Linked DNA regions of Tribolium castaneum. The protein of the gene in region 1 purifies or fractionates together with the protein of each later gene. This does not show direct contact. Links are inferred from orthologs where the notes say so. Each region holds a gene or a part of one and is shown in the gene's direction. Other genes may lie near its edges.

Region 1 (5,440 bases):
TTTTTTCAAATTTATTGAATAACTTTGTAAAAAATACTCGAGTGAAGCCAACGAAACCAATTTCAGACCCAACTTTTCAAATTTTCAACCTTGTTTTTGATAAAATCTTTCGGAATTTATTTAATTTGTCGCCAAAAAACGGGCAAAAATAATATATTGTGAGGGTTTTTAAGCAAAGTTTTTTTAATACAATCATCTCGATGAAAATACTGTAATTAGGAGAAACTGGCCAAAAAAATAAGATTTTTCGACGAGTTTGTTGGTGAAAAATGTTTTCAAGGCAAGTTTTCGAGTTTTTTTTGCCTATTCTTACCGAAGTTTTTCAAATTTATTAAATAACTTTGTAAAAAATCCTCGAGTGAAACCAACGAAACCAATTTCAGACCTAACTTTTCAAATTTTCGACCTTGTTTTAGATAAAATCTTTTGGAATTTATTTAATTTGTCGCCAAAAAACGGGCAAAAGTAATATATTGTGAAGGTTTTTAAGCAAAGTTTAATGCAATGATCTCGATAAAAATACTGTAATTAGGAGAAATTGGCCAAAAAAAAACAAGATTTTTTGACGAGTTTCTCGGTGAAAAATGTTTTCAACGCAAGTTTTACGAGTTTTTTCCCTATCTTTGTAAAAAATACTTTATACCAACGAAACCAATTTCAGACCCAACTTTTCAAATTTTCGACCTTGTTTTTAATGGAAACTTTTGGAATTTAATTTGTCGCCAAAAAACGGGCAAAAATAATTTATTGTGAAGGTTTTTTAGCATTGTAGTAAAATCATCTCTATAAAAATGCTCCATTGAGAGAAACTATGGCCAAAAAAAAAAAATTGTTAGAAATTTTGTACACTTTTTTAATAAAATCTCTTGAATTCAGTTAGTTTTTTAGAGCAAAACATGCAGACCAAACGAAGTAAACATTTTAGGCTTGTTTTGAGAAAGTTGTAACGAATGTATTAATGAAAAACATGGAAACCGAGCAAAAAAAAATTACATATTTAGTGTATAGTGTAAACTTAACAATTTTTAGTCTTGTTGAAATTGAAAAAAAGAACGCAAAAATAACACATTTTTCTGTCCTATTTTTTTTGTCAATGTTCAATGAGTATCTTGACGAAAAACGCTGTAATAAAGCGTAAAGTTTTGCGATTTTATTTCTTATTTTGGCGAAGTGTCTGAAATTTATTTAGCTTTATCAATGAAAAACTATTTAAATCGAGCGAAAAAGACTAAATTTGTGCTTGTTTTTGGATAAAAAGTTTTGAGTTAATTAGATTTTTTCAATAAAAAACTGACCAAATCGAACAAAACAAAATTCAATAAGTTTTTCGAAAAAATGCTTTAACGAAATTGGAAATTAAACGAGCGAAATTAACGAATTTAGCGCGATTTTATTTCTTATTTTGGCGAAGTGTCTGAAATTTATTTAACTTTATCAATGAAACACCATTTAAATCAAGAGAAAAAGACTAAATTTATGCTTGTTTTTGGATAAAATGTTTTTTTTTGGTAAAAAATTGACCAAATCGAACAAAACTCACAAAAATAACTCATTTTTTGTCCGTTTTTTTGTCAAAATTTATTGAGTTTCTCAAAGAAAAACGGTTTAACAAAGTTGAAAATTAAACGAGCGAAATTAATGCATTTTAAAACGAATTTTGCGATTTTATTTTTATTTTGGCGAAGTGTCTGAAATTCATTTAACTTTATGAATGAAAAACCATTTCAACTTATTCATTTTTCTGTCTTCATTTCTTGTAAAAAATTATTTTAGACGGAATTTTACAATCTCTTTCATTAATTTTACGAGATTTTTGGGATTTTAGTGATTTTGATAACTAAATTTTCCGCTTTGTTTTTGTGAACTGGCGAAGTTTCTTCGTAAAATATAGCAAAAAAAAATATTTCAGAGCGGATAAAAAAATCAAACACTGTCGAATCAAACTGGAAGGTCGTCTCTACACCATTGGCAACGTCGAATTCGAAAGTTTAGTCGAATTAATCAACTATTACGAAAATCACCCACTTTATCGACGCGTCAAATTGAGTTATCCAATCAGCGAGGAGGCCGTCAAAAGAATGACTATGGTAAGTTCAAAAAAACTTTATTCGAAAGACAATTTTTTGTACATTTAATTGCACGAAACCGACCCCACTACATAATAATAATAAAAAAATCAGATATAGTATACTTTTTTAAACTCTAAACCTATAAGAACACGAGTAACATACATAATTTTTAAGCCAATAAAATAATGAATTAAAAAATATACATTACAATAATCAGTCTTTTTAATTAAAAAGTTGTGACCAAATCAGTTGATCAGACGTCTTCGCCCCCTTCATATTGATCAGGGATTGCCACTGCCTTGATCACATGAAAGGTGGGCACATAAGGCACTTGCAAATTAACATTTTCCGGTTGAAGCGGTTTCGGATAATAGGCAAACTGGTCAAAATCCCACGGTTTCCTCACTGTTTGTTCTTCCGGTGGTGAATACGGCACCGGAACCACAAATTTCAATTGTTGTTGGTACAAGTGCACCCCTTCTTCTGGGGGCGGTTTTTCCGTGGTTGTCGTTTTCTCTGTTGTAGTCTGACTAACCGATTCAGAGCCTCCAATCGGGTAAAACGACGGAAAAAAATTACGAAAATTATAACCACCGGGGACGGCGCTTGTCGTCGGGGGCGGCGTCGTTGTGGGGGCGGGAGCAATCTGACTCGGGATACTTTTATGCCAATAGTAAACCGTGCGTCCGTCGCTCATTATCGTCTTTTGTAAAATAACAGGCTCGAGTTTGATGTATTTAACGGGGGCGGCTTTGGGGATGGTGACACCGTCGGCGGTGATGTAATGGCCGCTGGGGGTGGTGTTACGGGGCGGTGGCGTGGTGGCGAGACGGGCCAAGTGTTGGCATTTGATTTTGAGGTCTTCTAATGACGTTTCGGGTTTTTTTTGTTTGTCATCAGCAGGGTATTTGGTAATGATGGGATAGTCACGATTGTGGTTTGAAATAATTTGTTTTATTGTGTCGGTTTGGCGTTGGACGAGGTCGGAGACGGTTTTGTTGGGGGTGGTGGTGGGGGTGAAAACGCGGTCGGGTAAGGGGTGGGAGGTGGGGTAAGAAAGGGTGTTTGACAGAGCTGCAAGCTGTAAAAAAATATTTTTTTATTTAACTTTTTTATTTTTATTATTATTATTATTTTATTTTCTATTATTTTTCTTTCGAAGTTACGTTGAATAGCTCCAAGCTAGACTTCGCTTCCTCATCTGCGTATTGTTTTTTAATTATTTAATAAAAGCCCTTTTTTATTAATATTGTTATTATTATTATTAATTCGTTAAAAAAATGAAAATTAAAAAAATCGCAAAACAATTAGATTATGCTATTTTTCTTGCTCAGAAATTATCTTAAAAGAATACAAAAGATATTAGAAAGCTACAGAATTTGAGAAAATTTTATATTATTAAAATTAGTGAGTTCTCCGCTAAAATTTTTCAAAAATCGAGTAAAACAAACAAAAGTAACGCACTTTAAAGCAAATTTTACGCATTATCTGCTTTTGTTTGGCGAAATTTCTCGTATTTGGTAAGTTTCTGTATTAAAAAATTTCTAAATCGAGTGAAGTGTGCAAAAATATCGCAGTTCAAACCTACTTTTGTGATTTTATTTTTTGTGAAAAACTATAAAATCGACCAAAACAGACAAGCTATTAATTTTTTAAGTATAAAAACTGTGCCTTTTAACAAATTAAAAAAATAAATTTAAAAAATCGCAAAAGAATTAGATACGCTACTGTTTCTTGCTCAAAGATTTTCTTAATAGGATTGTATAAAAACAGTGCCTTCTAACATAAATTAAAAAAATAAATATAAAAAATTACATAAACTTTCACCTTTTAAAAGTTAAAAAAGTTAAAAGGTAAGTGAATGAAAAATCGAAAAATATTGTCTTTTTTATTTGAAAAATTGAAAAGTTTTCAGCTTTAAATACTTTAAAAATCTCGCTACAAAGAAGACTCTAATTTTTTCTGCTCTGTTTTTTTCTAAATCGAGTGAAATAGGCAAAAATGTCGAACCTACTTTGTAATTTTAAAAACTTTAAAATTTAGCAAAACAGACGTAAATACAATGTATTTCAAATATTTTTTTATAAATTATCTGCTTTGTTTTTACTGAAATTGTTCTAATTAATTGAACTTCGGGGTTAAAAAATACCCTAAATTCGTACGAAAGTAGAAAAAATTATCCATTAGGAACAGATACGAAAAAGAAATCATTGAAAAAGTAGAGTTTTTCTTTGTTAAATACTTCAAAAATCGTACAAGGCAAACACAACTAACTCATTTCAACGAGAATTTTAAATAGTTTGCCTTGGTTTGGCCAATTTTTCTAATTTAGGTCGTTCCAAAAAATTTTGGTCGCAAAAATTGCGCAGTTCAAACCTAATTTTTATGATTTTATGTTTTTTTTATGATTTTTTATCAATAATATTGAAATTGTTTTGATTTATTTATTTAATTTAATATTTAAAAACAGTAATGTTTATGACGAATAAAAAATTGATTAATTCGAATAATAGAATTTTTCTGTTTTAAAAACTTTACAAATCATCTGTTTGAAAAAAAAATTCTAAATTTTCTCAGTTGCTTGGCGAATTTTTCGAACCTAATTTTGCGATTTCTTGTTTTTATTTAAACAAAAGGCTTTACACACACAGGTAAAGATTAATGCATTTTAAAACAAATATTACGTTTAGTTTTTAGTTAAAACTTTCACATTTATTTCTCGAGTTATTCTTTTCTTTGGTAAGCAATAAAACAAGCAAAACTATTTCTAATGTTACATTTTTTTGTTATGTGAATTTCTTGGTGAAAGAACTGAGCAAAATAGCTGAAAATAAGGCATTTCAAGACTAATTTTACAACTACGTGCTTTATTCGAATAAAATCTTCTAAATCTAGTATTTTTTCCGAATCGAGCAAAACAAGCAAAAAAACTATGCATTTCACAACAAAGTTCGCAAATTTTCTGCTTTGATCAAGAAATATCTCGGATTTAGTGAAATTCTAGAAAAATTTTTGGAACATCATGCCTTGTTTTTGGCAAGATTTTTAAAAATGAATGTTTCTCTTTAAAATATTCTGAATCTAACTAAAAAAATTTTTAGTTTTTACCGAAATTGTTGAAATTTTGTGAATTTCTTAAAAAAAACTAAAATGGTGTCAATAATAATAAAAAAATTAAAACATTGCCTGCTTAACTTGAAAATTGTTAATTTTATTATTCCAAAAATGAAATTGGCATTTTTTTCAATTAAATACAATTCTTGAAATCAATAAATCTGGGTGAGCTTACCAGCAAGAACACCGTCAAGACCCCACTCATTTTCAAAAGCTCAACCAACTACTAATCAAAACAGCTCTATTTCGTGCATCTT
Region 2 (5,033 bases), on another chromosome or scaffold:
TTTTATTAAGCGATATTAAATGTTTTTGTGCTATTGTAACTGTTGCAGATATTATTATTATTATTATTATTATTATTATTATTATTATTATTATTATTATTATTATTATTATTATTATTATTATTATTTATTATTATTATTATTATTATTATTATTATTATTATTATTATTATTATTATTATTATTATTATTATTATTATTATTATTATTATTATTATTATTATTATTATTATTATTATTATTATTATTATTATTATTATTATTATTATTATTATTATTATTATTATTATTATTATTATTATTATTATTATTATTATATTATTATTATTATTATTATTATTATTATTATTATTATTATTATTATTATTATTATTATTATTATTATTATTATTATTATTATTATTATTATTATTATTATTATTATTATTATTATTATTATTATTATTATTATTATTATTATTATTATTATTATTATTATTATTATTATTATTATTATTATTATTATTATTATTATTATTATTATTATTATTATTATTATTATTATTATTATTATTATTATTATTATTATTATTATTATTATTATTATTATTATTATTATTATTATTATTATTATTATTATTATTATTATTATTATTATTATTATTATTATTATTATTATTATTATTATTATTATTATTATTATTATTATTATTATTATTATTATTATTATTATTATTATTATTATTATTATTATTATTATTATTATTATTATTATTATTATTATTATTATTATTATTATTATTATTATTATTATTATTATTATTATTATTATTATTATTATTATTATTATTATTATTATTATTATTATTATTATTATTATTATTATTATTATTATTATTATTATTATTATTATTATTATTATTATTATTATTATTATTATTATTATTATTATTATTATTATTATTATTATTATTATTATTATTATTATTATTATTATTATTATTATTATTATTATTATTATTATTATTATTATTATTATTATTATTATTATTATTATTATTATTATTATTATTATTATTATTATTATTATTATTATTATTATTATTATTATTATTATTATTATTATTATTATTATTATTATTATTATTATTATTATTATTATTATTATTATTATTATTATTATTATTATTATTATTATTATTATTATTATTATTATTATTATTATTATTATTATTATTATTATTATTATTATTATTATTATTATTATTATTATTATTATTATTATTATTATTATTATTATTATTATTATTATTATTATTATTATTATTATTATTATTAAAATGTCTCATAACAGTCCATGGGTACAAAAACATTAATTTAACATTAATATTCTCTTAAATATGGAACATGAATAAAATGTCCTGAATTTTCTGCTATTGTCGAGTTAGTTCGTTTACTACATGTTAGGTAGCGCTTTCGGTAAAAACGAGGGATAGACAGAGAAATTCGCTTCTTCCTCTCTCTTATTCTATGATTGGAAAGCTCTATATTTGTTACTTCAATGGCCAATTTCCATCCATTGTCAGGTTGTGTCCCCACTTGGCAGCGCCGCCTTCCTGAGTCACTCATCGGAATTTGTCAAAATAATTTCGTGTGTTCGTTCCCCTCACAGAATCAAATAAACGGTTCGCGAGACATCAATAAACCATTCATGAGATCGGCCACAGGTTAGGTGGTGCAGCGCGTCATTTCCGAGCGTGGTTATGGTTTAAAGTGTCGAAATGGCCGATTTGATACGTGCAGGAAGCGGACATGGGGCTGTGATGAAAGATAAGCTGGGTTCGCCGAGCACCGGAAGCGAGGATGGCAACGAGCAGGACACGCAGGGGGCCCCCAAGGCAGAGCCCGACGAGACCGACCTGGGGGACTCGGCGCCGTTCGCCCCCTCGGAGACGCTGTGGTACCACGGACGGCTGGACCGGTACCAGGCCGAGGAGCGCCTCTGGATTTCGAACAAATTGGGGAGCTATCTGGTGCGGGAGAGTGACCGGAAGCCGGGCTCGTATGTGTTGTCGTTTTTGGGGCGCACGGGAATGAACCATTTTCGGATTACGGCCGTTTGTGGCGATTTTTACATTGGGGGAAGACAGTTTGTGTCTTTGAATGATCTGGTTGGGTATTATACGGAGAGGAGTGATTTGTTGAAGAGGGAACGGTTGGTGCATCCGGTGCCACCTCCGGAGCCAGTCAATGATAAAAAGGTCAGTTGGTTGTGATAAGAGTGTGTGGAAAATGATAATAGATGGATGGAAATTGAGCAATTTGGCGAAATCGCAAACGAACAATTATTTTTAATTGCTGGTTATTATTGTGTTGACATTTGAGACAATAGGTGACCTGGAAGTAATTGATTCATTAATCATTATTATACAGGGTGCTGCATTTTGGATGTCCAAATAGGGGATGTCCAAAACTAAAAGGTTTAGAGAAAAACGAGTGATACGTCCTTGGGTCCATTTTTTTGAGAAAATAATTTTGGTCAAAACCGCATTCTCCTATCGTCTTTTGTTTTCTACTTATAAACGAATTCCTTATTACAAAAGATACATATTTGAAACAAAGACATTATACAAGCATTTTTTACAGATAATATAATAATGTTATCAGTAGATTTTTTTCATTCGTTTAGCTATAATTACATAAAGTTGTATTTTTTTTAAATAGGAATCATAGTTGGCTATGACATTTTCGAAAAGCTTATTTTTTCTGAACAATATAAATACAGTTTTATATTTTTATATACTTTTGCTAAAAAATGTAATCAAAATATTTGAACGTAGTTGGCCATGGAAAAGTTATTTCACAGAAAAGGTGTGAATAATCTAGAAATTTTGTGAACGGTTATTAAAGTAATAAATGTAAAATTATCAAAATAAGCTATGTTAAAATTATTTTCAATTGAACAAATATCGTCGCAGATTTTAATTACATAAAAAATGTGCAGAAAATTTAAAACGATGTGTCACTACCATTTGATGACACTTGATTATAATTTAGTGAAGTGCAATGGAGGTGACGCAGATAGGATTTGATTTTGGTGTTTGGATTGACATTTTTTGTAAAATAAAATTTTATTGTCAAGCAATCATACAATTAATAAGATTTTTCTTTTTCCGACATTTCATGTTTAATTAGAAAATAGAATGACAATGTAAGGTTGCCATTTTAAATCTAAAAACAAATAATTTTTATTCATCGCAAAAATTCAAATAATAATTTATTTTGCTGTTTTTGAATTAATTAGTATTTATTATTAATAATTATTTATTATTAATGATTAATTATTTATGATTATTATAATTATTATATCTTTGTTTCAAATGTGTATTTTTTATAATAAGGAAGATATGAATTTTTTAAGATTTCGCTAAAATGTCAACTTTTGTTGCAAACAAAAGACGGTAGCGGGATGCGGGTTTGACAAAAATTATTTTGTCAAACAACGGATCTGAGAATGTGTCACTCGTTTTTCTCCAAAACCTTTCAGTTTCGGAGATCTCCTATTTGGATATCCAAAATGCATCACCCTGTACAGGGTGGCTCAGCTCTAACATTGAAGATTCATTTTTTGAGAAAATATTTTGAACCATTTTTCCATTGTCTTCAACTAATAAACAAAAATGTTTCTTTATTCAATGTAATTTTTTCAAGTTATTCAACTTTAAACACTGTGTTTTACTTACACTTTAATTAAGCTTTTTTTTATCTTTCTTTTGTTAAGTTAAGTTAAGAGAATTCAACTTCAGTGTTGTAGAGAATCACTTTAGTAGTCCAAATATATCAGCTGTTTCAAAACTATAAAAACGCCAACATCGCATTTTACCAAATTATTTTTTGAAAAAAGATTGATAAAGTTGTAAAATAGTTATTAATAATTAGATCTCTCATTGAAAGTATAAATTACAAAATACAGATTCGGGGTTTCCCTACAAGGATACAATTATTTAAAGTTTCACTTCAAGTGCCCTTTAAATAGCGTTTTCTTCTACAGCAGGCTAAAAATTTCAGTGTTTATTCTTATTTATGGTGTAGATGATTGTGAAAAATAATAATGTAAAACAATTTCTTGAAAAATTAGCTTTATTTTGAAGTAAAAAGTAAAAATGAAGTAAAAAATTTTGTAATTTTTCTTAAAAGTGAAACCGCAGATTACAAAAATTTAAAATTTTTTTACTTTGAAAAAAGCAAATTTTTTGAGTTGTTTTACATTATTATTCTCCACAATCAACATAAATAATAAATTGAAATCATATTCTTAAATAATAATAAACTCTGAAACTTTTAGCTTGCATTTGAAGAAAAAGCGATACAAAAGTGATCTTCACACCAATGTATCTTTGTGGGAAGCCCTGAATCTTTTTTTTCTATATTTGGACTACTGAAATGATTCTCTACAATGCTCTGAACTTGGAATTCGCCAATGTTGAGACACCCTGTATAGTTTATCTTGGGTGCAAGACAAACTGCGACGATAAGAGAGAATAGCGATGTTATTAGGACAAAAATGTACGAGTATTTGAGCTTTACCCAAAGTTTTTAAGCTTTACACGTTGGACTGTGATTTTGAAATTAATTTGGCAACATTGAATACTTAGATGAGACTTGTCATTTTCATAATTCATTGTTGTTATCATAATTTTTTAATAGAGAAAGACATTAAATATATTATTTCGTGTTATGATTATGACCAACTGAGTATGTTTTTTAATTTAATTTAAAAATAAAATGTTATTTTTAAATTAAAAAAAAGAAAGTTAAGGACTCATGGAAAACCGAAGACGATATTAAATGCACTAACTGCACCATAGACGACAGTTCATTGGTTAAAAATGCTTTAGAGAATTAAGAAAATTTTGGATATTATAGTGAATACCACTTTTGGGAAGTAATAGTATATTAATAAACAAATTTCATAAGAGCAGTCTTAAAGCACGAATTCAACCAGTGGCCTCAGTCATGAGTTTTTTGAAAGAATGATTGCTTCAAAGTCTTAT

Evidence for each region. Proteins that work in one complex are often made in the same cells at the same time.
Region 2: the proteins of sl (region 1) and vap purify together in Homo sapiens (affinity purification with western blotting; 3 studies listed by BioGRID and IntAct, with this or other methods). This does not show direct contact. The link is inferred for Tribolium castaneum from reciprocal best matches to the Homo sapiens genes PLCG1 and RASA1.

What each region holds. Positions count from the first base shown.
Region 1 is NC_087394.1:2,081,257-2,086,696, forward strand, and holds part of sl (1-phosphatidylinositol 4,5-bisphosphate phosphodiesterase gamma-1), read left to right. Parts: intron 1-1,909; coding exon 1,910-2,087; intron 2,088-2,093; exon of another isoform or gene 2,094-2,322; coding exon of another isoform or gene 2,323-3,150; intron 3,151-5,358; coding exon of another isoform or gene 5,359-5,388; exon of another isoform or gene 5,389-5,440. Other genes in the region: uncharacterized protein LOC135266330, read right to left, coding at 2,323-3,150, 5,359-5,388. UniProt on the Homo sapiens protein: Mediates the production of the second messenger molecules diacylglycerol (DAG) and inositol 1,4,5-trisphosphate (IP3). Plays an important role in the regulation of intracellular signaling cascades.
Region 2 is NC_087400.1:10,161,428-10,166,460, forward strand, and holds the start of vap (ras GTPase-activating protein 1), read left to right. Parts: upstream 1-1,561; 5' UTR 1,562-1,760; coding exon 1,761-2,240; intron 2,241-5,033. UniProt on the Homo sapiens protein: Inhibitory regulator of the Ras-cyclic AMP pathway. Stimulates the GTPase of normal but not oncogenic Ras p21; this stimulation may be further increased in the presence of NCK1.